Linked DNA regions of Rattus norvegicus. The protein of the gene in region 4 interacts with the protein of the main gene of each other region in a biochemical or structural test. Links are inferred from orthologs where the notes say so. Each region holds a gene or a part of one and is shown on either strand. Other genes may lie near its edges. The genes, in order: Rps6, Mtor, Rptor, Rps6kb1, Mapt and Pdk1.

The links.
Region 1: of the proteins of Rps6kb1 (region 4) and Rps6, one has a biochemical effect on the other in vitro, tested with the Homo sapiens proteins (4 studies listed by BioGRID). The link is inferred for Rattus norvegicus from reciprocal best matches to the Homo sapiens genes RPS6KB1 and RPS6.
Region 2: of the proteins of Rps6kb1 (region 4) and Mtor, one has a biochemical effect on the other in vitro, tested with the Homo sapiens proteins (18 studies listed by BioGRID and IntAct, with this or other methods). The link is inferred for Rattus norvegicus from reciprocal best matches to the Homo sapiens genes RPS6KB1 and MTOR.
Region 3: of the proteins of Rps6kb1 (region 4) and Rptor, one has a biochemical effect on the other in vitro, tested with the Homo sapiens proteins (6 studies listed by BioGRID and IntAct, with this or other methods). The link is inferred for Rattus norvegicus from reciprocal best matches to the Homo sapiens genes RPS6KB1 and RPTOR.
Region 5: of the proteins of Rps6kb1 (region 4) and Mapt, one has a biochemical effect on the other in vitro, tested with the Homo sapiens proteins (2 studies listed by BioGRID and IntAct). The link is inferred for Rattus norvegicus from reciprocal best matches to the Homo sapiens genes RPS6KB1 and MAPT.
Region 6: the proteins of Rps6kb1 (region 4) and Pdk1 form a complex in vitro, tested with the Homo sapiens proteins (2 studies listed by BioGRID and IntAct, with this or other methods). The link is inferred for Rattus norvegicus from reciprocal best matches to the Homo sapiens genes RPS6KB1 and PDK1.

The regions. Positions count from the first base shown.
Region 1 is NC_086023.1:106,417,741-106,422,019, forward strand, and holds the start of Rps6 (small ribosomal subunit protein eS6), read right to left. Parts: upstream 2,801-4,279; 5' UTR 2,786-2,800; coding exon 2,780-2,785; exon of another isoform or gene 2,268-2,779; coding exon 2,136-2,267; exon of another isoform or gene 1,793-2,135; coding exon 1,582-1,792; exon of another isoform or gene 1,454-1,581; coding exon 1,307-1,453; exon of another isoform or gene 230-1,306; coding exon 1-229. UniProt on the Homo sapiens protein: Component of the 40S small ribosomal subunit. Plays an important role in controlling cell growth and proliferation through the selective translation of particular classes of mRNA.
Region 2 is NC_086023.1:164,272,485-164,275,984, reverse strand, and holds part of Mtor (serine/threonine-protein kinase mTOR), read right to left. Parts: intron 3,335-3,500; coding exon 3,254-3,334; intron 749-3,253; exon of another isoform or gene 667-748; intron 149-666; coding exon 43-148; intron 1-42. UniProt on the Homo sapiens protein: Serine/threonine protein kinase which is a central regulator of cellular metabolism, growth and survival in response to hormones, growth factors, nutrients, energy and stress signals.
Region 3 is NC_086028.1:105,631,943-105,635,442, reverse strand, and holds part of Rptor (regulatory-associated protein of mTOR), read right to left. Parts: intron 1,440-3,500; coding exon 1,322-1,439; intron 566-1,321; coding exon 425-565; intron 46-424; coding exon 1-45. UniProt on the Homo sapiens protein: Component of the mechanistic target of rapamycin complex 1 (mTORC1), an evolutionarily conserved central nutrient sensor that stimulates anabolic reactions and macromolecule biosynthesis to promote cellular biomass generation and growth.
Region 4 is NC_086028.1:71,837,691-71,841,190, forward strand, and holds part of Rps6kb1 (ribosomal protein S6 kinase beta-1), read right to left. Parts: intron 1,771-3,500; coding exon 1,713-1,770; intron 1,525-1,712; coding exon of another isoform or gene 1,482-1,524; intron 1,120-1,481; coding exon of another isoform or gene 1,078-1,119; exon of another isoform or gene 870-1,077; intron 325-869; coding exon 224-324; exon of another isoform or gene 1-223. UniProt on the Homo sapiens protein: Serine/threonine-protein kinase that acts downstream of mTOR signaling in response to growth factors and nutrients to promote cell proliferation, cell growth and cell cycle progression.
Region 5 is NC_086028.1:89,729,125-89,732,624, forward strand, and holds part of Mapt (microtubule-associated protein tau), read left to right. Parts: intron 1-2,888; coding exon 2,889-3,104; 3' UTR 3,105-3,500. UniProt on the Homo sapiens protein: Promotes microtubule assembly and stability, and might be involved in the establishment and maintenance of neuronal polarity.
Region 6 is NC_086021.1:77,134,014-77,137,513, reverse strand, and holds part of Pdk1 (pyruvate dehydrogenase kinase, isozyme 1 precursor), read right to left. Parts: intron 1,308-3,500; coding exon 1,197-1,307; intron 1-1,196. UniProt on the Homo sapiens protein: Kinase that plays a key role in regulation of glucose and fatty acid metabolism and homeostasis via phosphorylation of the pyruvate dehydrogenase subunits PDHA1 and PDHA2.

The DNA.
Region 1 (4,279 bases), on a different chromosome or scaffold from region 4:
GAAGTAGAAGCTCTCAGCGAAGACAGCCTACGTCTCTTGGCAATCTGTTCCTGGCGCTTCTCTTTGGCTTCCTTCATTCTCTTGGCCAAAAGTTTAGCATATTCTGCAGCCTCCTCCTTGTTTTTCTTAGTGCGTTGCTTCTTCAGAGCAATACGTCGGCGTTTGTGTTGCAGGACACGGGGAGTAACAAGACGCTGAATCTTGGGCGCTTTGGTCCTGGGCTTCTTACCTAAAAATCCAGATGAGTAATCACTTAACATCCACCATGCTGGATGGCGATGCCCAGTGTATAACACACGCCTAGCACACCCAAGCCCAACTCAGTCCCCACCATCTACCCAAGGCCAGTGCTGTCCCCCAAACATAAGTATTACTCTGGCCCCATGGTCTGCATTGTTATAACCCCACCGTATTTTCAACTTCTCATTTATGTTTTAATCCTATTTTCAGTCCGTGCCTACTATTAGAAATTAACGGTATGTTATAAATTATTCATTTTAGCCTTTTGGATTTACACTCCTTACCCCACATTACAGGCCTCTCTAGAAACAGAACCCTGCTATCATCTCAGCTCAGACCCTTGTAAAATAAGCTGGATAGCCAAGTTCTGCTACAGTTCAGCCACTCTGAACTGCTCATGAGGGGATGATGGACCATTTTTAAACCTTTTGTCAACTAAGTTACACATTCTCTCTAATAGCACACTCTTAATACAAGTCAACAGTCCTGAGTTATTTGTATTAATATACATGCTATGCTTCCTACTGAAGCATTAACATTATGAGGGCTGGAGAGGTGGCTCAGCGGTTAAGAGCAGACTGTTCTTCCTGCTCTTCCAGAGGACCACAGTTCAATTCCTAGCAACTACATGGTGGATCACAACCATCTATAATGGAATCCAATGCCCTTTTCTGGTGTTAGAAGGCGCAACAGTGTACTCATATACATAAAAGCTTTAAAAAGTATGTATTTGTTCATACATTTCCCTTTAAAATGGGTGTTTCTCCTGATTTTCACAATCTATGTCCCAGAGATGAAAAATATGTGGAGCCATTCATTAGTAAATTAAAGTGGTTCTTCTGTAATCCAAAGCACCAACTTAGAGCCTGGTCCCTCCAAAATGTTGTCTCCTGCAAGTTGTCCTTTAACCCCCCCAACATACACACAAAGTGCTTTAAAAGTTTTTCATGTTAAAATGAGAATACTTTTGTAAAAAATCCTTGTCGCTCCTAATGCCGAAGCCATGAATTTAGCTGTGTGGCAAGCACAGCTGCAGCAATAGCACAAAGGCCCAAATCCCTGTTACCTTCTTTGTTTAAGGGCTTTCTGACAACATACTGGCGGACATCATCTTCTTTGGAGAGATTAAAAAGCTTTCGGATTCTACTAGCTCTTTTAGGTCCCAACCGACGAGGCACAGTGGTATCTGTCAGTCCTGGAATATCCTTCTCTCCTTGAAGAAACAATCGGAATTAAGACATCAAATCTGTCCCACTTTGGTCAATGCCCCACTACCTAGGAGGCAGAACCTTGTGTCCAGGACAACCAATTTCAACTAATAAACTCCAACAAAAGCCTTACCTTTTTTTACAATAACCAAGTTGAGAACACTCAGGTTGGCATCCACAATGCATCCTCGGACAGACTTGCGCTTCCTCTCTCCAGTTCTCCTAGGTCTATAACAAGAATGCCCCTTACTCAAAAGCAGGCGCACTCTGCCATGGGTCAAAACGCCTTGCTTCATGGGAAAACCTTGTTTGTCATTCCCACCGCTGATCCGGACCACATAACCCTGCATCGAACATAAAACGGTACATTTACCAGTTCTGTTCCAAAGTGTGGTTCTTAACTTCTTGTGTGCAACCCCATTAGGAAGAACAACTGAGTTCAACTTCAGCCACTCACTTTTTTGTCTCCGTTTCCAACTAAGGTCAACAAGCAATCTCTCCATTTCAACTTCTACTCCTAACTACCCAGGTCTTACTACAACACGCAAGACTTAAGGCCTTGAATTATAACAAGCAAGAGAGACTCCTCTTGGCACGTTTCCCCAAATTTGATTCTAGCAATGAAACTTAACCAAACCCAACAGCACTTGCTGTGACGAGTTGGGGTAATGATGCCAAAAACTTTACCTTCCACTCTTCACCAAGAGCATCAGCAGCTACTTCTGTGGCCATGCGCTTCTCATAGAACGTACGAAGCTTGCGTTCGTCATCCACTTCTATGAGTTTCTGACAGCCAGTGGCAGGGAAGGAGATATTCAGCTAGGATTTTAAAGGGGGCAAAAGAAGACGACTTTAGGCACCTACACAACTTCAACAATTCACGTGCGCAGAACGTTTTGAGCAGCTCCCACACACAGCAGAAAACCCACGACTCGGACTCGCAGGCCCTGCAAAGTGCCACACGTCAATGGAACATTTTGCCAAAGCTCTGTAGAATGCTATGAGGACGTCAGAGCATTCACCCTCGCGATCTCGGATAGCAGAGTGTCCAGGAGGGGTCAAATGCCGCGGGACACCCGCTGCAAGTGGGGCTTCAGGCCCGCATGTGCCCGGTCGGGTACCGGGCGCCGCCATTGCTCTACGTCCGCTGTCGCGGCGTTGCAATCGCCCGCCATCCGCTCTCCCAAAGGGTCCCAAGGCCCTAAAAGCAAGCTTCCTCCTGCCTCAGACCCTTCCCCGCTTAGTCCGGGTTTTGTGAAAGCCTGGGGCTGAGGCAGTCCCGCGTTCTGGGACTCGAACTGCTTCACTCAGTCCCAGTCAGGGACGCCTACCTTCATCTTGACACAGCCGACCGCCTAGGAGGCGTCACGAAAAAGAGGCCCGACTTCCGCTTAGCCCAGGTCACATAGCACTCTAAGTTCTCGCGAGAATAGCCCGAGCTGGAGCCGGCGGAAGTGAGTTGAGGTGGGTGGTACTTCCGGGGGCGGTACTAGCCGGAATAATGTGAGGCTGGTTTGTAGTGAGGTGTTGGTTGGTATTCTGGATGTTCCCGGTGACAGGGCAACTTGTTTATCACGAATGTTAGCCGCTTCTTAGCTAATTTTTCCCGTTTCCGACCAGACTGGTCCACTGAGGAGCCGAATCCCCGTTTCCGACCATGGTTTTTAGTAGTACCTAAATGGAAAAGCTCGATCAGAATTGTCGCCCGGGCTGGCCTGTCCCTCATCTCTGCGGAAGATTTCCAGTTCAGGATCTTGTCCTGGTCCCAGCGGTTGACGGGAGAAATCTTGAAAGCCAGGCTTTGTTCTGCATCGATCAGAGTGACTCCTATAGTCGCCGGACCGCAGAAGACAAGCAGTCCAGCCGATCCATCACGTCTACCTGGCACAGACAACTATCAGATGCCTCAGTCTTGAGCCTTTCGGCTTTCTGTTTTCTTCTGCCAAAACTTTCTGCTTTGTAGGTGGGGTGAGGGTGACAACTCAGATCGGAGATTGAACCTAGTCTCCCGAGTGTCACTGTCATCTTCAGCTCTTTTTCAAAACAACACCATTTCTGTGCTTCTCTTGTTTACTGCAGTTACATGCTGTTCTGTCCGAACTCAATTTTTGAGACTAAGTGTCTTTGTATAACTCTGGCTGTTCTGAAATTCCCTATGCACACCATACTGGTCTGCTTACTACTGTCACCCATTTCTGACAATGAAATATTGATTAAGCCCATCATGCGATGGAATCAAATGGGAGTTGCCTTTTTATAACTGGCTGGTTTCATTAAATGTAGTCTTTAAGGTTTATATTTTATTGTATGATGGAATTTTCTTTTAAAGGCAGTGTGTGTGTGTGTGTGTGTGTGTGTTCACATTTTTGTGTACTGATTCTTTTGATGAACATTCAAGTTGCGTACACAACATCCTTGAGTATGAATGCCTCAAGCCCTTTAGACATTAGAAGGTGTCTGATCCCTTTGAACTGGAGTTACAAATGGTTGTCAGCTGCCATGAAGGTTCTGGGAATTGAATACTGGTCCTCCGTTAGAGTGGCTACTAGTCTTAACCACTGAGATGTCTCTCTAGACCCTGTTACCTATTATTTTTAAATTTTGGATTGTTAGACCTGCCATTAGTGACTGCCTCTAACCCCTGCGCTATGGAAACAGAAAGACAATTTGCTACAAGTTCTTGGCAGTTAGGTCTATATAGTAAATTCCAGGGTAGGCAGAAATACATACAGTCTGAAGCAAACAAGCAAACAAATGAGATTGGGCTTGGAGAAGCTTGCATGAGATATTGTATATTCTAGAGGCAGGCTTTCACTCTGCAGCCCAGGCTG
Region 2 (3,500 bases), on a different chromosome or scaffold from region 4:
ACCACACTTGGCCAATGAGGCTTCTTTGCAAGGCTCACTCACCAGCCAATGTAGCACTGGCAGAGGTTCTCATGAGATGTCGCTTGCTTGATAAGCAGTTCCACTTGGGTTGGAACATCCAAAGTGTCATCATGAGAGAAATCCCGACCTAGAAAGTAGAAATACTGTCATCTGCATTTGGCAACAACACAGCCCATGTTCTTGTTTGGCTTGGCTTGGCTCAGCTGTCTATGTAGCCAGAATCACTAGAGCAGGAAGGATAGACCACATCTGCACTGAGAAATTCACCTCCGTGTCCTCTGCAGGCACACTGGTCCCTTAATATAGACCCAGTTCAAAGATGTGGCTAATGGGGCTGCTCCAAAACCAGACTTGAGAAGTGGCCAAGGGCATTTAGCTTGAACTGCACACGTTCATCAGTGTTTCCACTGGAGTTAAGATCTTGCCCTCACACAGAGTCAGCAGCCTAACCAGCTAGTAGGGCTTCTTTGATAATATGTGTGCTTCTGTTTTAAGCCAAATTCATTTTGCTATGGTAACCGATAGCCTAGACTCCTAAATATCTAAACGTCTACTAGAGATAATGCACAAGCATGACTACAAATTTCTATTTATTCTTTTAATTATTTTATTTATTTGGTCCCCCACCCCCACCCCCAGAGTTCGTTGTGTGTCCTCCTTGCTCAGGGCCATGCTAATCCTCTCTGTATCATCCCACTTTTAGTCTACGTGCTGCCGAAGCAAGCATGGCTGTTTTTGTTTTAGAGATTAAACTTTATGTGCCTCCGTGTTGCCCGTATGTCTGTATGTGCTCCATGCATGTGCCCTGGGAGGTCAGAACCTGGAGTCAGATGTCCTAGAATTGGAGTAACTGATGGTCAGGAACCACTACATGGATGCGGGAATCAAACCTGGCCCACAAGGAAAACACCTGCTTTTCACCACAGAGCCACCTCCCCAGGCCCATCCTGCCTCTTTAGCTTTTCTTTGAGATGGGGAAGTGTTTTGCGAGAGATTTCATGTAGTGTCAGCTGGCCTGAAGTTTGTAGCTGTACCTGCCTGATCTGATGACAGGCGATTAGAGCCCTCGGTAACATTTTTATTTATTTGAGTAGTCCTAGAACTGACGGTTAGGACTCAGCCAGCTGCGATTCTCCTGCCTTGTTCTACAGGGATTGCAGGCGTGAGCCACCACAGCTATCTGGCAAAGCACCTTTCTAGTACCACGAGCACTGTTTAAGTCTTCCAGATCTCCATAAATAGGGTTTCTCCACTTGTCACTGTTCAGTTCTAGGCCCTGGGGCTATGTTGGGTGAGGACATCCTTCCTATAGGTGTTTGTTTGTTGGTTTGTGTGTATTTGAGACAGGGTCTCTCTCTTCCTCTGTCCCCATAGCCCTAGGTGGAGCTTGCCTCTCTCTTCTGAACACTGACATTAAAGCTATGCTACGTCATGGTTTTTCAGTTTTGTGAACACACTCTTTCTTAGAGACACAGAGTGTGGTTCGATGAAGGGTCCTTTTGTACCATGGTTACAGCCCCAGGACTTGCCCACCACGACCTCTAGTTTGCTCACTTAGTCCTCTCCTCCCTGCAGAAGCTGCTCAAGAGCTCTGCTACATCTCAGCCGTCTCTGTCTCCATCCCCTTCTCTTCAACAACTTCAGTCTGGTTATCGGGTCTCTCAGCTCTCAGATGGTCACCACCGATGTCATCTTTGACCTTCTCATTTCTCATGTATCAACAGCCATCTTTGTGGGTTTTATTTTTTACGTTGTACTGGGGCTCTTACCTAGGTTCTGTGAGTGGCAGGCAGTAACTTTACCACTGAGCCACAGCCCTAACCCAGCCTTTGACCTGCCTTCCTCAAGATCTCTTGCATTGTCTTATGTGCATATTAGAGCATTTACATGCCCTCCTTCTGATGCAAGGCCACTCAGCCAGTGCAGGTGGTGTCACGACACACACACAAAAAAAACAGGCCTGGTTCCCTTCCCATTGCACCTACCTGCCTTGGTGTTTTCCCTGGGTTGAATGGCAGCCTGGGACCTTCCTTTTACCATCACTCTCATCAAAGGGTTCTAGATACACCCTTTGTCCCTCTGCCTGACATAATGTTAGTGTCCTCTAGTTAATTCCTTGTGGAAGTCTGAGTGAGAATGGTCCCCGTATACATCTGAATACTTGGTCCTAGTTGATGAAACTATTTGGGAAGGATTATAAGGTGTAGTGTTACTGGAAGACTTGTGTAGCTGGAGGTGGGCTTTGAGGTTTCAAAAGCCCATGTCATTTCCAGCTAGTTTTCTCTGCCTCAGAGTTGTAGATCAAGATGTAAGCTCTCAGCTACTGCTCAGACACCAAGCGTGCCGCTTGCTGACAGCTTATGGCCATGATGCTTATGGTTACTAACCATGAAAGCTGTCAGCCTAACAGACGCTCCCTCACAGCGTCTCAGCAGCAGCAGGAGAGATGTAACTGATAGACTCCTGCACATAAGCTTGAGCTGTAGCTTCCTTAGGGAGACTTTCCTGGGACTTCCACATTAAATCAAACCCTGCCATCACAAGGTATCACAGCCTGTTCTCCACGTAGTGATAATGTTTTCCCATAGATTCTGAGTCCTGAAAAGCCAGGGAAGCTGGCTGTCTTCTTGTGTGGTCCTTTATTGACTGACTTGATAAAGCACCCTGACTACAGAACTGGCTGATGCCCAGTGCCTGCAATCCCATGTTTTCTGTGACGTTCATCTCCTCTGTTATGTTCTTATTATCATTCAAATGGAGGAGTTCAGAGGTTACGTAGGAAGTGAATGTGGAATGGGGTCTCTGGCTACTTGGCTCCCACTCTCCATGAACTGACCCACTTCACAGGAGAAAGACAATCAGTTGGATTGGTTGCTTCTTTCTAAAGTCAGACAGGGCTCCCCTTCCGTCCTTCCACAGCATGCTAGTAGCCATAGTCAACCCAACTGGTCAGGCATTCTCCAGTATCTCACCACGAGGCCAGTAACAAGGCCTGGTTCTGGAATCCATCCAGATTCCACCAGAGCCCCCTTATCCCCAGAGCTAATGAGGTTAAAGGATGTCAAGTGATATTAAGGGTCTTTAGCAACAGGAGCCAGAGGGGAGCTCCACTGTTGCCTTAAAGCTACTCGTGACCCATGTAGAAATAAATCCCAGGACAGCGGGCTGGCCATCCGCGGAGAGAACACTCTCCTCATCAGGCTTCATGTCCCTTTAACCACCAAACACTCACCAGTGAGCTTATCTCGAACCCTGTTAATAATCTGAATAGCTTTCTTGTTTAAGGCTTCTGGTTTCACCAAACCATCTCCAACTGAAAGACACAAGAGCAGAACAGTATGTCCAAGGCTGCCCCGCTCTTATGAAACTTACCTTAAGTGCTAACAGTCCTGTGCACCTGTCTCTGCCCTCAGCACACAATGCAAAAGTCATGGGCCCTCCCCTCTCAAAGGCAGCTTTGTTGGTTCCCTTCGGGCTCA
Region 3 (3,500 bases), about 34 Mb from region 4:
TACTTGTACTGAGGTTCCCGGGAGAGAAGGCCACTGAGCTGCCCGCTGGCCAGAATATGACAGGAAGGAGGTCAGGGTCTGTCTGAGATGTGAGCTTTCTTCATAGTGGGCACATTTACACACACGTAAGCACATTAATAGACATGCGTATGCATAAACTGGTGGACCCTCTCCTTGGAACTGAGATCCTCAAAAGTCACACCCTGGCCTGACTGATCGGGTGTTAAACCAGGTCTTTGCTAAGCCCATGTCTGAAAGGAAGATTCTGACTCAAGACAGTTGGCCACTTGTCACTCTGACACATAAGACATCAGGGCCCATATTCTGGAGGGCAGGGTCAAGGGGCACAGTAGCATTTTTGATAAATGTCTTGTGAAGAGCACACTGACCCTTCCCATCCCAATTCTGGTTTCTGGAGTCTTACATTCTTCCGTCAAGCTCAGGTTCTGCAAAGATTTGTTCAGGTTCCTAGCTGTGGTGACGGCTCGGATGTTCCCATAGGAGCTCACTGACCGGAGTCTGGGGGTGCACGGGCTGTCTCGAACTGGAGTCAAGCTCCCTCCCTCTAGGAAAGAAGGGGAGAGGAAAGAGTTAGCAATGGCTGTCAGGATAGGAGCAGGGTGAATGCCTGGAGTCTGCAGACATGGGAACAGGGACAGTTGGTATTACTGAAACAAGAATGAATGTAGAAGGGCCTCCCTGTCCTTCACCTGTGTGAGTGCAGGCCTCAGTTGTAGACATGTGAGTACTAAATCCCAGGAGAGCATGGCCCGGAAGGCAAGAGTAGCTCTGAGGCTGTTCTGGTGTTAGGGGACTCGGCCAGAGACAGAGTGGTGCTCAGCACCCTGGGCCTGGCAGGCTGGCCCCAGCCTTTGGGCAGCCGCACCTCCGCCTTACGGCTGTCTCTGTGGTCTGGAGGGAGGGGTGAGGAATTAGGAACACAGATGACTGTACTCTCCAGCGAAAAGGACAAATGTGAGAAGCAACGCTTCCTACCCTGACTCATGGAAACACAAGGCCGACAGCCATGTGATTCACTTACTCATCGCAGGAAGACAGCTAATGTTCGTTTCAGTACGCCCCACTACAAGTTTGCCGTCTTTCAAGATGTCCCCAAATTTGAATTCCAAGAAGGGTAAGAAGGAAGGGAAGGAGTAAGAGGGTCAGCACGGCCCTTTCCCTTCTAAAGGTGTGAGACAACAAGAGCCAGGGGCCACCCACACTGCATCAGAAGGCCATGCTCAGACCTGGCTGAACTCAGGCCACTAATCATTCTGGTGAAGGCTGGGAAGGGGGCCCAGGCTCCCAGAAGCTGCAGTACCTGTGGCTGCTGGAGAAGGCAAGGGGTAGTTCTTTTCCTCTTCCATGAACTGCAGGGCCACAGTGCAGAAATTGCTCTCATATTGGACTACAAGGTGACTCAGAGCCACCACCAGCTCCTGTAGAGAGGGAGAAGTGACAATTATGTCTCCAGAGGCAGGAAACTGACTGGGCAGCAGATCCGCACACTAACGCCTAAGGCGACTCCAGGAAACAGCTGGTTAGAACAGGGCTGCACACCTGGCAGCACAGGTGCAGAGGAGGGGGGGAGTGTGGAGGCAGCAGGCTGATGAGGGGTGTCCCCAAAGCCAGGCACCTGCCTTAGTCTGCTTGCTCACTGCTGGGCACCAATCACTACTAGTCCAAGGCTTTCTGATGTGAATTCCATAACCTGGAATAGTTAAGATTAGGCCTCTGACCCTGCTGAGTCTGAAACTGCCTCTTTTGATCCCACCCAATGGACTGGTGGATAGAATTGATAAGCTGAAGCATTCTTTTTAATTAATTAATCAGTTAATTAGTTAATTAAAATTGATTATACATCCTGACCACACCTTTCCCTCCCTCTTCTCCTCCCAGTCCTTACCTCATCTCCCCTCATCCATTCACTTTTCTTCAGAAAAGGGGAGGCCTCCCATGGATACCAACCAGCCCTGGCATATTAAGCTGCAGCAAGACTAGGCCCATCCTTTCCTACTGAGGCTGGACCAAGCAGCCCAGTAGGAGGAACGGGTCCCCAAAGCAGGCAACAGAGGCAGAGGTAGCGCCTGCTCCTGCTATCAGGAGTCTCACGTGAACACCAACCAAAAAAACTAACATATGTGTGGAGGGCCCGGGTCAGTCCCATGCAGCCTTCCTGGTTAAACCAGATGAGGGTAGGACACAGGAAGAGACTACTGGGAGACATGACTACAGTCAGGAGATGGTAACGCAGTGGTGGTGGAGGTGGCAGTGCCATATCTCTAGGATAAGCTAGAAATGCAGGGCATAGGAATCTATGAAGGTGAAGCATTTTTGAAGTGAGCAATAAGCTAACTTAGCTGTAGTGGGTTCTAGTCACAACGAATGAGAAAAGTCCTTGAATTAAAATGTGACTAGACCTAAGCCCCGGAGTCTGAGGAGACAGGATTTACATGTAGTTTATGATAGCTTAGCATCTCAACTTAAATGTTTATAGACAGAAAGGCAAAAAGAAGCTCTCGGTAAAGAGAAAGATGTCTGCAGAAAACTAAGGTCTGCTGGAGAGGCCCTCGTGTGCTCCACACACCCACGCCCTGAGGCTGCTGAGGTGCTGCAGCCAGGTCTGTGGGCTGATGTTCTCTCACCTCAACTGCACACACTTTTTTGCTTCTCCTATCTCTCTGAGCTCCAGGCTGATTTTCTAATAGCTTTGTTTGTGCCCCAACTGCTTTTGCACTCAGACCCACTATAACTTCCCAATTACGCCCAGGGACCCATAGCTCATGCTGCTCAGGCCACAGGTTTGCACTGGTCTCTACTTCCCCTCCAACGTCCTCAGATGCTGAGGTAGACTAGACCAAAGGTGAGAGCCCACTGAGTCTTCACAGACACTGTCAACCTGAGGCTGGTGGCCCCCTGAAGCTGCCTGACCCATCACCATGGAGCTGATCCTCCTTATTTGTGCCAGGGATAAAGTTTCTGAGCCCACAAGCTGGTACCCACTGGGCCCGTCTGGGGAAGAAGTCTTCATCTGTCTTCAGAAACCTCACGTTCTCCATTCACTCCCACATACAGTGGAAGAAACTGGTGTTGCCATTGACGGTTACTCTAACACCAGCACTTTGGTTCACAAAAGGCCATCAGGGGTGAGCTTGTAACTTACAGAAAAGGTGGAACTCACACTGGAGTGTCCTGACTATGCCCAGGAAGGATAGAGACTCTGCATCTGCACAGAGCAACCCTTTGATGTCAGAAGGCATGTATTGAATATCCTCTGTTTTATCCAGAACATAGTGGTCTGCCCAAGGGACTCAGTTACAGCATGGGCAGTGCCTTCACTCAGTGCTCAGCAGTGGTGCCAGGGTGTGCACACTGGGACTGGCCTCACATACCCAGTGGTCCTGGGAGGGCAGTCTGTGCTCTACATGGCTGAGCTCTAAACCTGCACACTCCCAGCAGGACCGTTAGTCCTCCATGGTACTCCCAGCAGCCCCTGGTCT
Region 4 (3,500 bases):
TTCTTTTTTTTAAGTTGTAAAGAATGGCTAATGTGTTTAACTATTAAGCTCAATCATGAAACACTAAATACTTAAAGTACTGGAGAAAGTACTGTGATGCTATATATTCTAAGGGGAAATATATTTAACAAGACAGAGATAAACGTGGGAGCCTTGAAAATGGCCATCATCTGTGTGGAAGGACTGTACGCTGACTATTTACTACAGAATTGTAAATCTCCACCTTGGTGATTAAGCATGATGTTCTCCGGCTTCAGGTCTCTGTAGATGATCCCTTTTTGATGTAAATGCCCCAAAGCCATGGAGATTTCAGCCAAGTAAAAGCTGGAAACAGAAGTGATTTAATAAAAATTTAAAAAGTAATCTATCCAAAGCAGTTTATGTATGGAACAAAATTCCTTGAAAGAAACAGACATGCACCAAAGACCAAATTAGCAGGGGCAAAAGAATGTACTGGGAAAAGAGATGGCACAGGATGATGCCACAATGAGGGAGACATTTGTCACTCATTTTAGTCAAGCTATACCATGTTTTAATTTTTCCATTAGAACATAGTGCTAAAAGTGCAAAGATGTCCAGTCTAGTCTATTATTGATTAGGTTCTAATCTCTCTATGTAGGAATTAGGCCAACAGTCATTCAATCAAACAAATTCCTCCCACCCTCCCCCATATTTAAGATTCCATAGGAAATAGGGACTTTATTATTCTAAGAGATCAAGTCTTGGTCCTTATGGCCTGACCTGTAGAAGCCCACTCATCCCTTACATAACACGGCCGTGTATTAAAGACAGCAATGCCCACAGTATCTACCCACCCTCTTGCCAGCCAGCCCACAACTATAAACTGTGTGACACTCAAATTTATCTACCTCAAAAGAACAAAGGGCTGAGTCAACCCTGTGTGGATTCGAAAAGCACAAAGCACTGCAATACTGGCTGTGTAACAAGGCTGCAATCCTGCAGAGTACTCCAGGATGGAGAGGGTGTGTCCTAGAGGGCTGAGGCAGTTTCACAGCTAGCAGGACCACAGCCTCCACAGGGCTCAGAGAGCCTCCTCCAAAAAGGGGCACTTCATCCCTAAGGCTCTTTCTTAAATGCAGCTTCTGTGTTAGAAAAGGCCTGAAATTAAACAATGGAATGCAGTTCGGTAATTAAGATAGAAAAAACATTTAAGTGTTTTCTAGTCAATTAATGTGTAGGTCAAACTGTTTTACTGTTACCCAATACAGTCACTTCACAAAAGGATGTGTATATTTTTAATTTGAAGCAGATGCCATCTTACGAATAGGAGGGCAGATCCCATCCTGGCTATAAAATCAATCCACAGATGTATGCTCAGGGTTACCACCTCCCTAAGACTGCACCTGGGGAACTGGAAAGTCTAAAAAAAAGAGGAGATGATTTCTGATACTTTCCATTGCTCCACATACAAAATTTCACTGGAAAACCACACTCACCCACAACCAAGGCAGGCAGCTTACCAATTCAAGGAAATTCTGCAGTGAAGAGCGGTCCACCCAAGGCCTGGGGGCAAAGGAATCACGTGACCTCCAACAGCTGCCCAGTCCCAAAGGTCCCCCTTGATGTTCTGAGTGACTGACTGCCTCCAGATCAACTTACTGAACCGTGTGGCTGCCCACAACGGGAAGGTAGGTTTGCTTTAATTACATGAGTTATTACCTGAGTCCATACAACCACAAAACTCTACTTACCAAGCTGTATCTTCCATGAATATCCCCTCTCTTTCTAACTGCATAAATAGTTCTCCTCCTATAAAGAAAGGAAAGGTATTAGGAATAAATATCTTTACTTCCAGACCTTTTCTAATAAATTTTTACTTTCTTCTATTTATAAGACTGACTCCTTAAAAACTAAAAAACAGGGGCTGGGGATTTAGCTCAGTGGTAGAGCGCTTACCTAGGAAGCACAAGGCCCTGGGTTCGGTCCCCAGCTCCGAAAAAAAAAAAAAAAAAAAAGAACCAAAAAAAAAAAAAAAAAAAACAAAAACAAAAACAAAAAACTGCTAAAAACTGAGGTTTCAAGTCTCCAGGAAGCAATTTTTAGCAGCATTGTTATTCTATAAAACATCTAAGTTTAGGAACTAAAACTGGCTTGAAATTACAACTTTTGCACCTGCAAACTTCAAAATATATAGATTTCTAGCCTGAAGCTGAAAAAGTCTTTATTAAAGCCTCTTTAGTACTTTTTCCATATGTAAAAAAGTTAGTACACAATTAAGTCACCTAAATTTTACTGAATATGATGTTCCTTTTTTTCAGAACCCTTACATAAACAAAATGAACTTAACATCGACATAATTTGAGTATCAGATAGTATAAAGGGTTATACTGTAACATTGAGACTCCCATGATGATGTAAATAGATGAATAGATATGGCTTTCAATGGCAAACAGAACTCTGCACTGCAGGAGAGCACCAGGCACAGTGATAAAGGAAGGTGGCAGACTGGAGGAAGAAACTGCTTGGCAAACACGTTAGCTGTTACAGTTAGGAACACCAACACTGGACCGGGAAGCCTGATGAGAGGAGACTCTGAGGTAATCCCAAAATGTCTCCTCCGGAGACACCTGCAGACATCATGTGACCACAATGAACATTAACGGCAGTGGGACAAAAAGATCTAAACACCATGCACCCCTGTTCTGAACGCTGAGAAGGAACACGGTGTCACTTGGACAGTTCTGTCAAAACGCATAACCTGGATCTATTCCTAAAGAAACATCAGACAAACTCAAATTGATGGCATCCTACAGAAACTGGGCTATACACATTTTAAAAAATGTCAATGTGACAAAGACAGACTAAGGAACTGTTCAATATTAAAGAAAACTAAGTTATTATTGTAATAACTAGTTACATAAAAAATGTCCTTGAACTTAGAAAGTAAATGCTAGAGTTTTATTTATATAAATCTTTGAATAGTACAAAAAATGTTGACTGTGTATGTGTGCATATGTATGTACACACACGCATATGCATGAAGGAAGATAAGCAAATACAGTGAGATGATGGAGTGTAGAGGATCTAGGTGAGGGGTAGGAATTCCGCACTGTCTGGAGGATCTGGGTGAGGAACCCTGTACTACTCATAATAAGTCACAAGATAAGCAGCATTAACAAAAGGAGTGAAACTGTGAAGCTCTCAGACCCATGGGCATTCCAGGCCTGGTGGCACAAGCCTTTAATGTTAGCACAGGCAATCTCTCAGTTCGAAACTAGCCTTGCCTACATAGTTGAGTTCCAGGACAGCTAGAACTGTATAGAGATCTTGTCTCAAAACAGAAAAAGAAAAAAAAAAAAAAAAACAGAAAATACCAAGTGTGTGTGCACATCTGTGCTGTAGATATGATTCAGGAACCACATGTAGTAGTTCAGACTTGTAGTAACCCCAACATACAGGCGGCTGGAGCAGGAGCAGGACTGCCAGGAACTCAAAGGCAGCATAAGCTACACAGTGAACGCCAGGCCAGCCTGGTTTGC
Region 5 (3,500 bases), about 18 Mb from region 4:
ATTGTTCCCCACCTATGTTCTGTGTGTGTGTGTGTGTGTGTGTGTGTGTGTGTGTGTGCGCGCGCGCATGTGTGTGCGTGTGTGTGTGTGCACATGTGTGTGTTACATGCACATGAGCATACAGGTGAGCACAGCCATGCACGATGTGCAGAGTCCAGAGCAGAACATCAGGTGTCTCCCCTTTCACTCTTGAGACAGGGTCTCTCACTGAACCGGAAGCTTGCTGGTTCACTGAGCTTGCTAGGCTGGCTCGGTGAACTCCTGGGATATATCTGGTTGCACCCCTCAATGTGGGGGTTACAGGCTAGCATGCACACCATGCTCTGCTTTTTTAACTTAGGCGCCAAGGAACTCAGGCCTTGGTGCTGGCAGAGCAAACTTTTGCAAGCACTCCTACCCACCGAGCCATCTCCCCAGCCCCGGCTTGTTTTTTTTGAAGCAAGATATTACTATTAATCCCAGGCTGGCCAGGAACCAGCTGTCCCTCAGTCTCTCAATTGCTGGGATGACAGGTGTGTGCCAGCCATAATATTTTGCTATTCCAGAGTGCTTCTACATGCCAGTGGCTGTACCTTTGCAGCGCCCACCTCAGGATCTACCTACTCCCTGTTGATGCCTGTGGAGGCTCTTCCATTTTTCTCAAGTTACAAATAATGCTGAGTATGAATAACCTTGAGTGACCTCACACATTTTACATGTTGTGTTTAAGTGTATCCTACAAATGTAATGTCTGTCTGTCTGTCTGTCTATTTGTCTGTCTATCTATCTGTGCTGGGGATAGAACCCATAGCCTCAAGCATGCTAAGCACATGCTCTACTGTAAATGTACTTTTCATTGGCTTGATGTAATTGTTATCTTGGAGGCTTATTGTGTCAGTCTGCTAAACTAAGCCTAGTCCCAGACGCTTCCAGTCTCTGTACAATGTAATCTAGGCCTAGAGTGTTTTCAGCCTCTGAGACTTACTGCTGCATAGGCTCACCCTTTCTTGTTCTTTCTGAACTCTGGTTGGCTGGCTCAAACCTACTCTCCTAGCTGACTGATTCAAACTGACGTCTTTCTGCTTCTCACTGAATTGCTTTGCCTGGCCTCTAACTCTGGCAGTCTATTTTAATCTTCTGGCTCCTTTTTTTCTCTGGCTTGTTTTGCCTTCACCTGTGTCTAGTTGGTTCTCTCTTCAACCTGTCTCTATAAAACTCTCCTGGTAAAATTGCCTCCTCCCTCTCTCTTCCCCTGCTCTCACAAGTTGCCTCTCTTTCCTCTCTGTTCTTGTGAGAGTTAGGCATATCCTATCTCTGACTCATTCTGTCAAATCTTCCTCTGCTTCGTCACTTTGTCTGTCCCTCAATTGGACATCACTTTCAAACATGTCTGCTTCCTTCTACAAACTAACTTTACCTTCATTGTTTGGGATTAGAGGTGTGTACTAAGGGTATGTGTGTATTCCATCTAGATCACACAGAACCTAGAAGGTCTTTGGATATGATCAGAGCAGCCACATTGCTGGATTAAAATTCCTTTATGTTCAGGAAGCAGATCTCCTGGAGTTGAAAGCCAGACTGGTCTACATAGTAATTTCCAAGCAGACCAGAGCTACATACTGATATCCTTCCTCACTGTAGATAAATAGGTATATTAACAAAAATTAATGGACAATAATGAAGCAAGTATCCAGTGTGAAAATCAAAATGCAAAGCCCTATGGATATTGTCCCATATGGGTTAAATATATGTGTTGCCGGGATTTGAACTCAGGACCTCTGGAGGAGCAGTCGGTGCTCTTAACCACTGAGCCAGATCTCCAGCCCTCATATCAGTTTCTATAGGTGTGGAATATTTAAAGAACACAGAAGCAATGGTGACAGTCATTGGGCAGCCAGGTGTGGGATGGACCACGCACAACTATTGCTAATTGGGAAACAAAAACAAGTAGGTGGTGGCTCCTGAGGATGCAACTTAGTTGGTAGAGTGATTTTCTAGCAGGCAGGAAACCCTGGGCTGGACAATACCATTACATACACTAGGTGTGGTGGCACACGCCTGTGACTTCAGCCTTGGGGACAAAGAGGCTGGAAGATCCAAAGTTCGAGGTAATCCTCAGCTGGATAGGGAATTCCAGGCCAGCCTGGGCTATATGAGAGCCTCTTATAAGAATAAGTAAATACAGGGCGTGGTGGTACAGCACTTGGGAGGCAGAGGCAGCCCTGAGTTCAAGGTCAGCCTGGTCTATAAAACAAGTTACAGGGCTGGAGAGATGGCTCAGCGGTTAAGAGCACCTGACTGCTCTTCCAGAGGTCCTGAGTTCAATTCCCAGCAACCACATGGTGGCTCACAACCATCTGTAAAGAGATCCGATGCCCTCTTCTGGTGTATCTGAAGACAGCTACAGTGTACTTATATATAATAAATGAATAAATAAATCTTTAAAAAAAAAAAAAAAACAAGTTACAGGACATCCAGAGCTACACAGAGAAACCCTGTCTTTTTTTCTTTTTTAAGATTTACTTTATTGGGGTTGGGGATTTAGCTCAGTGGTAGAGCGCTTGCCTAGGAAGCGCAAGGCCCTGGGTTCGGTCCCCAGCTCCGAAAAAAAGAACCAAAAAAAAAAAAAAAAAGATTTACTTTATTAATTTTATGTACACCATTGCTGTCTTCAGACACACCAGAAGGGGACCTCGGATCCCATTACAGATTGTGATCCTGAGCCACCATGTGGTTCCTGGGAATTGAACTCAGGACCTTGGCAGGAGTCCTGAGCCATCCATCTCTCCAGCACGAGTAACCCCGTTTTAAAAACAAAAACAAAATGAATGAATGAATGAATGATTTCCTACCCCCACAATCGAATTTCCCCCGGCCTTCTCATTAATCTCACCCTCTACTTCTTGCAGATTGAAACCCACAAGCTGACCTTCAGGGAGAATGCCAAAGCCAAGACAGACCATGGAGCAGAAATCGTGTACAAGTCACCTGTGGTGTCTGGGGACACATCTCCACGGCACCTCAGCAACGTCTCCTCCACGGGCAGCATCGACATGGTGGACTCTCCACAGCTTGCCACGTTAGCCGATGAAGTGTCCGCCTCTTTGGCCAAGCAGGGTTTGTGATCAGGCCCCTGGGGCCGTCACTGATCATGGAGAGAAGAGAGAGTGAGAGTGTGGAAAAAAAAAAAAAAAAAAGAATGACCTGGCCCCTCACCCTCTGCCCTCCCCGCTGCTCCTCATAGACAGGCTGACCAGCTTGTCACCTAACCTGCTTTTGTGGCTCGGGTTTGGCTCGGGACTTCAAAATCAGTGATGGGAAAAAGTAAATTTCATCTTTCCAAATTGATTTGTGGGCTAGTAATAAAATATTTTTAAGGAAGGAAAAAAAAAAAAACACGTAAAACCATGGCCAAACAAAACCCAACATTTCCTTGGCAATTGTTATTGACCCCGCCCCCCCCCTCTGAGTTTTAGAGGGTGAAGGAGGCTTTGGATGGAGGCTGCTTCTGGGGATTGGCT
Region 6 (3,500 bases), on a different chromosome or scaffold from region 4:
CACACTATGGATGCCCAGCCTTTGTTCTGAACCTGGAAATAATCTGTAATAGTCGCTTTCTTATTATCACTGACAGATCACTTCCCTGCTCCAAAATCTTCAAAGCATACCAGGACTTCCCCACCCCAGAGAGAAAGAGCCAAGCTTCTAAAAACGTCCAAGACAAGATCAGGTCTCTGCCTGCTCTCCTGTCTAGTGGAGCCGATCTCCTTCACCGACTTCCTTAAACCCAGGACTGGGTCTTTGTTCAACCTGTTTCCAGTATCTGGTCCTTCTTTACCTAGGAAATTCTACAGACACTTGGGAAGAGGTAAAAATGGCTCCCATCCCCGAGCCATGCTTTGGGTGGTACTCCTCACAGCACGTTTATGCAAACCGAAGAGTCACTAACACTGCTCTGGCCTTTTCTCCCACTGATTATTTTTTATATTACTATTATTGGTGTGTTTATGAGTGCAGGTATGTGTGCATAGCGCTCTGTGTGTGGAAGTGAGGACCTCTTCCAGGAGTTGGCTCTCTTCTGCCACCCTGGGATGTGGGGATCAAATGATGCCGTCTGTGTTAGAAGGCGGCATTCTTCTCATGGAACCATCATGCTAGTACTAATTATTTTATAGTCCACCGTTTCTAGGTGGCCTTCCAAGTCAACGACCCAATTTCCAGCTTTCTCCTGTCCTAGGGCTGAGCTGCAACCAAAACACTCATACACTTACAAACAAAAATAATAATAAAAATGTAAACAAACTGGGCACTGTGGCATATGCCTTTAATACCAGGGCATTGGAGGCAACCTTGGGTGAACTGAAGAACACAAATAAAGAGAGAGAGGAGACCTTCAGTTCTATCTGCCAATGAGGTCTTTCTAGATATAAGTACTTGAAGGAAAACATGACTGGTACAATCCACAGGGAGTCTTCATACTGAAATAGACAGGTACATATGGTTTGCCACAGAAGAGGCTGCTGTGATGTCACGACCAAGAGTACCAGAAAAACCTCAAACTATCATCTGTCTTGTGCCTGTTTCAATTAAAAATTAATCCCAGGGCTCTTTAAATTCAGATAGAAGTATTTGCCCCTAAAGTTTTGAAACATTTTCCTTCCTTGTGAGCTCCTGTGAAATTGACTTAAGTGTCTTTGGGGAAGCCACATTCTGATGGTGGCTGACGGTCACCACAGTCTTTCTGTGTCACATACCAGGGGCACCGCACGGGACGTCTCAACACGAGGCCGGGGTGCAGTTGAGTACATGTAGTTGAAGAGTCTGTCGATCTTCCTCAGCGGAACACCACCTCCCCGGTCACTCATCTAAGAGGAGAAAGGATCAAATTGTGACCGGGTCCCACACGGTACGGTATCGTGATTTAAAGACGACTGTGGGGAGAACGCTGCTTTTGGAAATCCAGGCTGCAAATGTGAACACTGCCCTCAACGGTGTAGCTAACACAAGGTTAACCCTTCTTGGTTAGCAGTAATATGATAACCGGAATAAAATTTAAAAAGAGCAAAGATACTAGACACATCAGTGCCACATCTTAAGTTTATCCTAAAAAAAAAAACTAATGTAGGTGAAGTACGCATGAGAATGCCCACCATGGATTTAAGAAAAAGCAGAGAGTAACCCACACAGGGGCTACAGAAAGTGCATTCTAAAGCAGAATGCCACGTAGTCATTTAAATGTTCTGTACAACACTCTTATGTATTAGCAAGAGAGAGGTGTACAAAAAATAGCCAACAAAAAACAAGTCAGAAACACTCACGATTCTAACTCTGAAGATATATTATCAAACAGAAGTGGGAAATGGGCTGGAGAGATGGCTCTGCAGTGACGAGTGCTGACTGTTCTTGCAAAGGCCTGGGTTTTGTTCCTGGCTCCTACATGGTGGCTCAAAACCATAAACAACTCTAGTTCCAGGGGATCTGACACCTTCTTCTGGCCTCCACGGGCACCGTATAAACGTAACCCACAGGCACGTACAGATAAACTAATTGAGTCTCTTTCTTTAAACTGCAGGTGGTGCTACACATCTGCAATCTCAGCATACAGGAGGCCGAGGCAGGAGGATTGCCATAATTAAAGACTAGCTTGTGCATTCTGTCTCAGTGAAACAAAACTAAGGGCCACGAGATGACCCAATGGTAAAAGCACTGAGCCAAGGACCTGATCAATCCTGGAAGTGCACATCAGTCCCAGAAGTGCACATCAATCCCGGGAGTGCACATAAGGGAATGAGCATCACCCTGTGCCACCTCTGACCTCCACACCTGTGCAACACACGGAGACACAACAAATAAATGCAACTTTGCAACACAGGATCCCAGACAACCTTCTGGTGAGTTAAAGGAAGCACATCTTTCCTATTCTGTCATTTTTCAAACCAAGTAACCACATGGTAGATTGAATTAGTAATTAACTTACCCATTATTTTTATTGTTTTCCTATATAGTTAGTATAGTCTACCTTCCTAGCCTATATCCTAATTTACTATAGATACCCCTTCTGTCATAGACCTAAGTTGATGTTATTAATATGCTCTTAGCATAAACATAATAAGTGTAAATAACAGATACAAAAAAGTTATACCGTAAATGGCTTATAGTTGAGATTTCATATATTGTTTAAGATGATAATGTATATATACTAGAAACATACTAAGAATTATATAGCTGTTTTCATTTTCTAAGGGTGTAAGGCACTGGACCAAGCACCTCCCACATACTAGAAGCTACACTCAGAGCCCTATTGTGATTTTCTTTTTCTTTCTCTTTTTTTTTTTAAAGATTTATTTACTTTATGTATGTAAGTAGCTTTCTTCAGACACACCAGAAGAGGGCATCAGACCCCATTACTGATGGTTGTGAGCCACCACGTGGTTGCTGGGATTTGAACTCAGAACCTTTAGAAGAGCAGCCAGTGCTCTTAACTGCTGAGCCATCTCCCCAGCCCCTATTTTGATTTTCAAAGTTGAAAAATTTGCTGTGAGATATATCATGTGAAGCTCTGCCTCACAAACAGCTAGAACTAAGAAACTACAGTATCGAAGCATGGAAGGACTTTCTAAAGAACCTGTGTTTAGAATTATGCTTTAAACTGCTCTTGGCTGTGAATTCAAAGGCCTGTGGAATTATGTATTTTAGTACAATGAATTAAAACCCTCTGGGATGATCAGTTCAATGTTTGGCTACACTTCCCCGGTAAGAAGTGAGGGTGCACTGGAAACCTTAAGTGAGTGGTATGTCACAACAGACATTAGGATAAAGAAGGGAGGGGTGCTAGAGAGATGGCTCAGAGGTTAAGCACACTTGTTGCTGAGGACCCAGGTTCAGTTCCCAGCACCCACACGTGGTGGCTCAGAACCATTCATACTCAAATTTCAGAGGATCTGAAGAGGTTCTTATATCCATGGGCACCAGGCATGCACACAGTACGTGGACATACGAGCACACGTGAAATAAATCTAAGTGTAGAGTAGTACTGCCAGCAACCCCAGAGCTTCTGA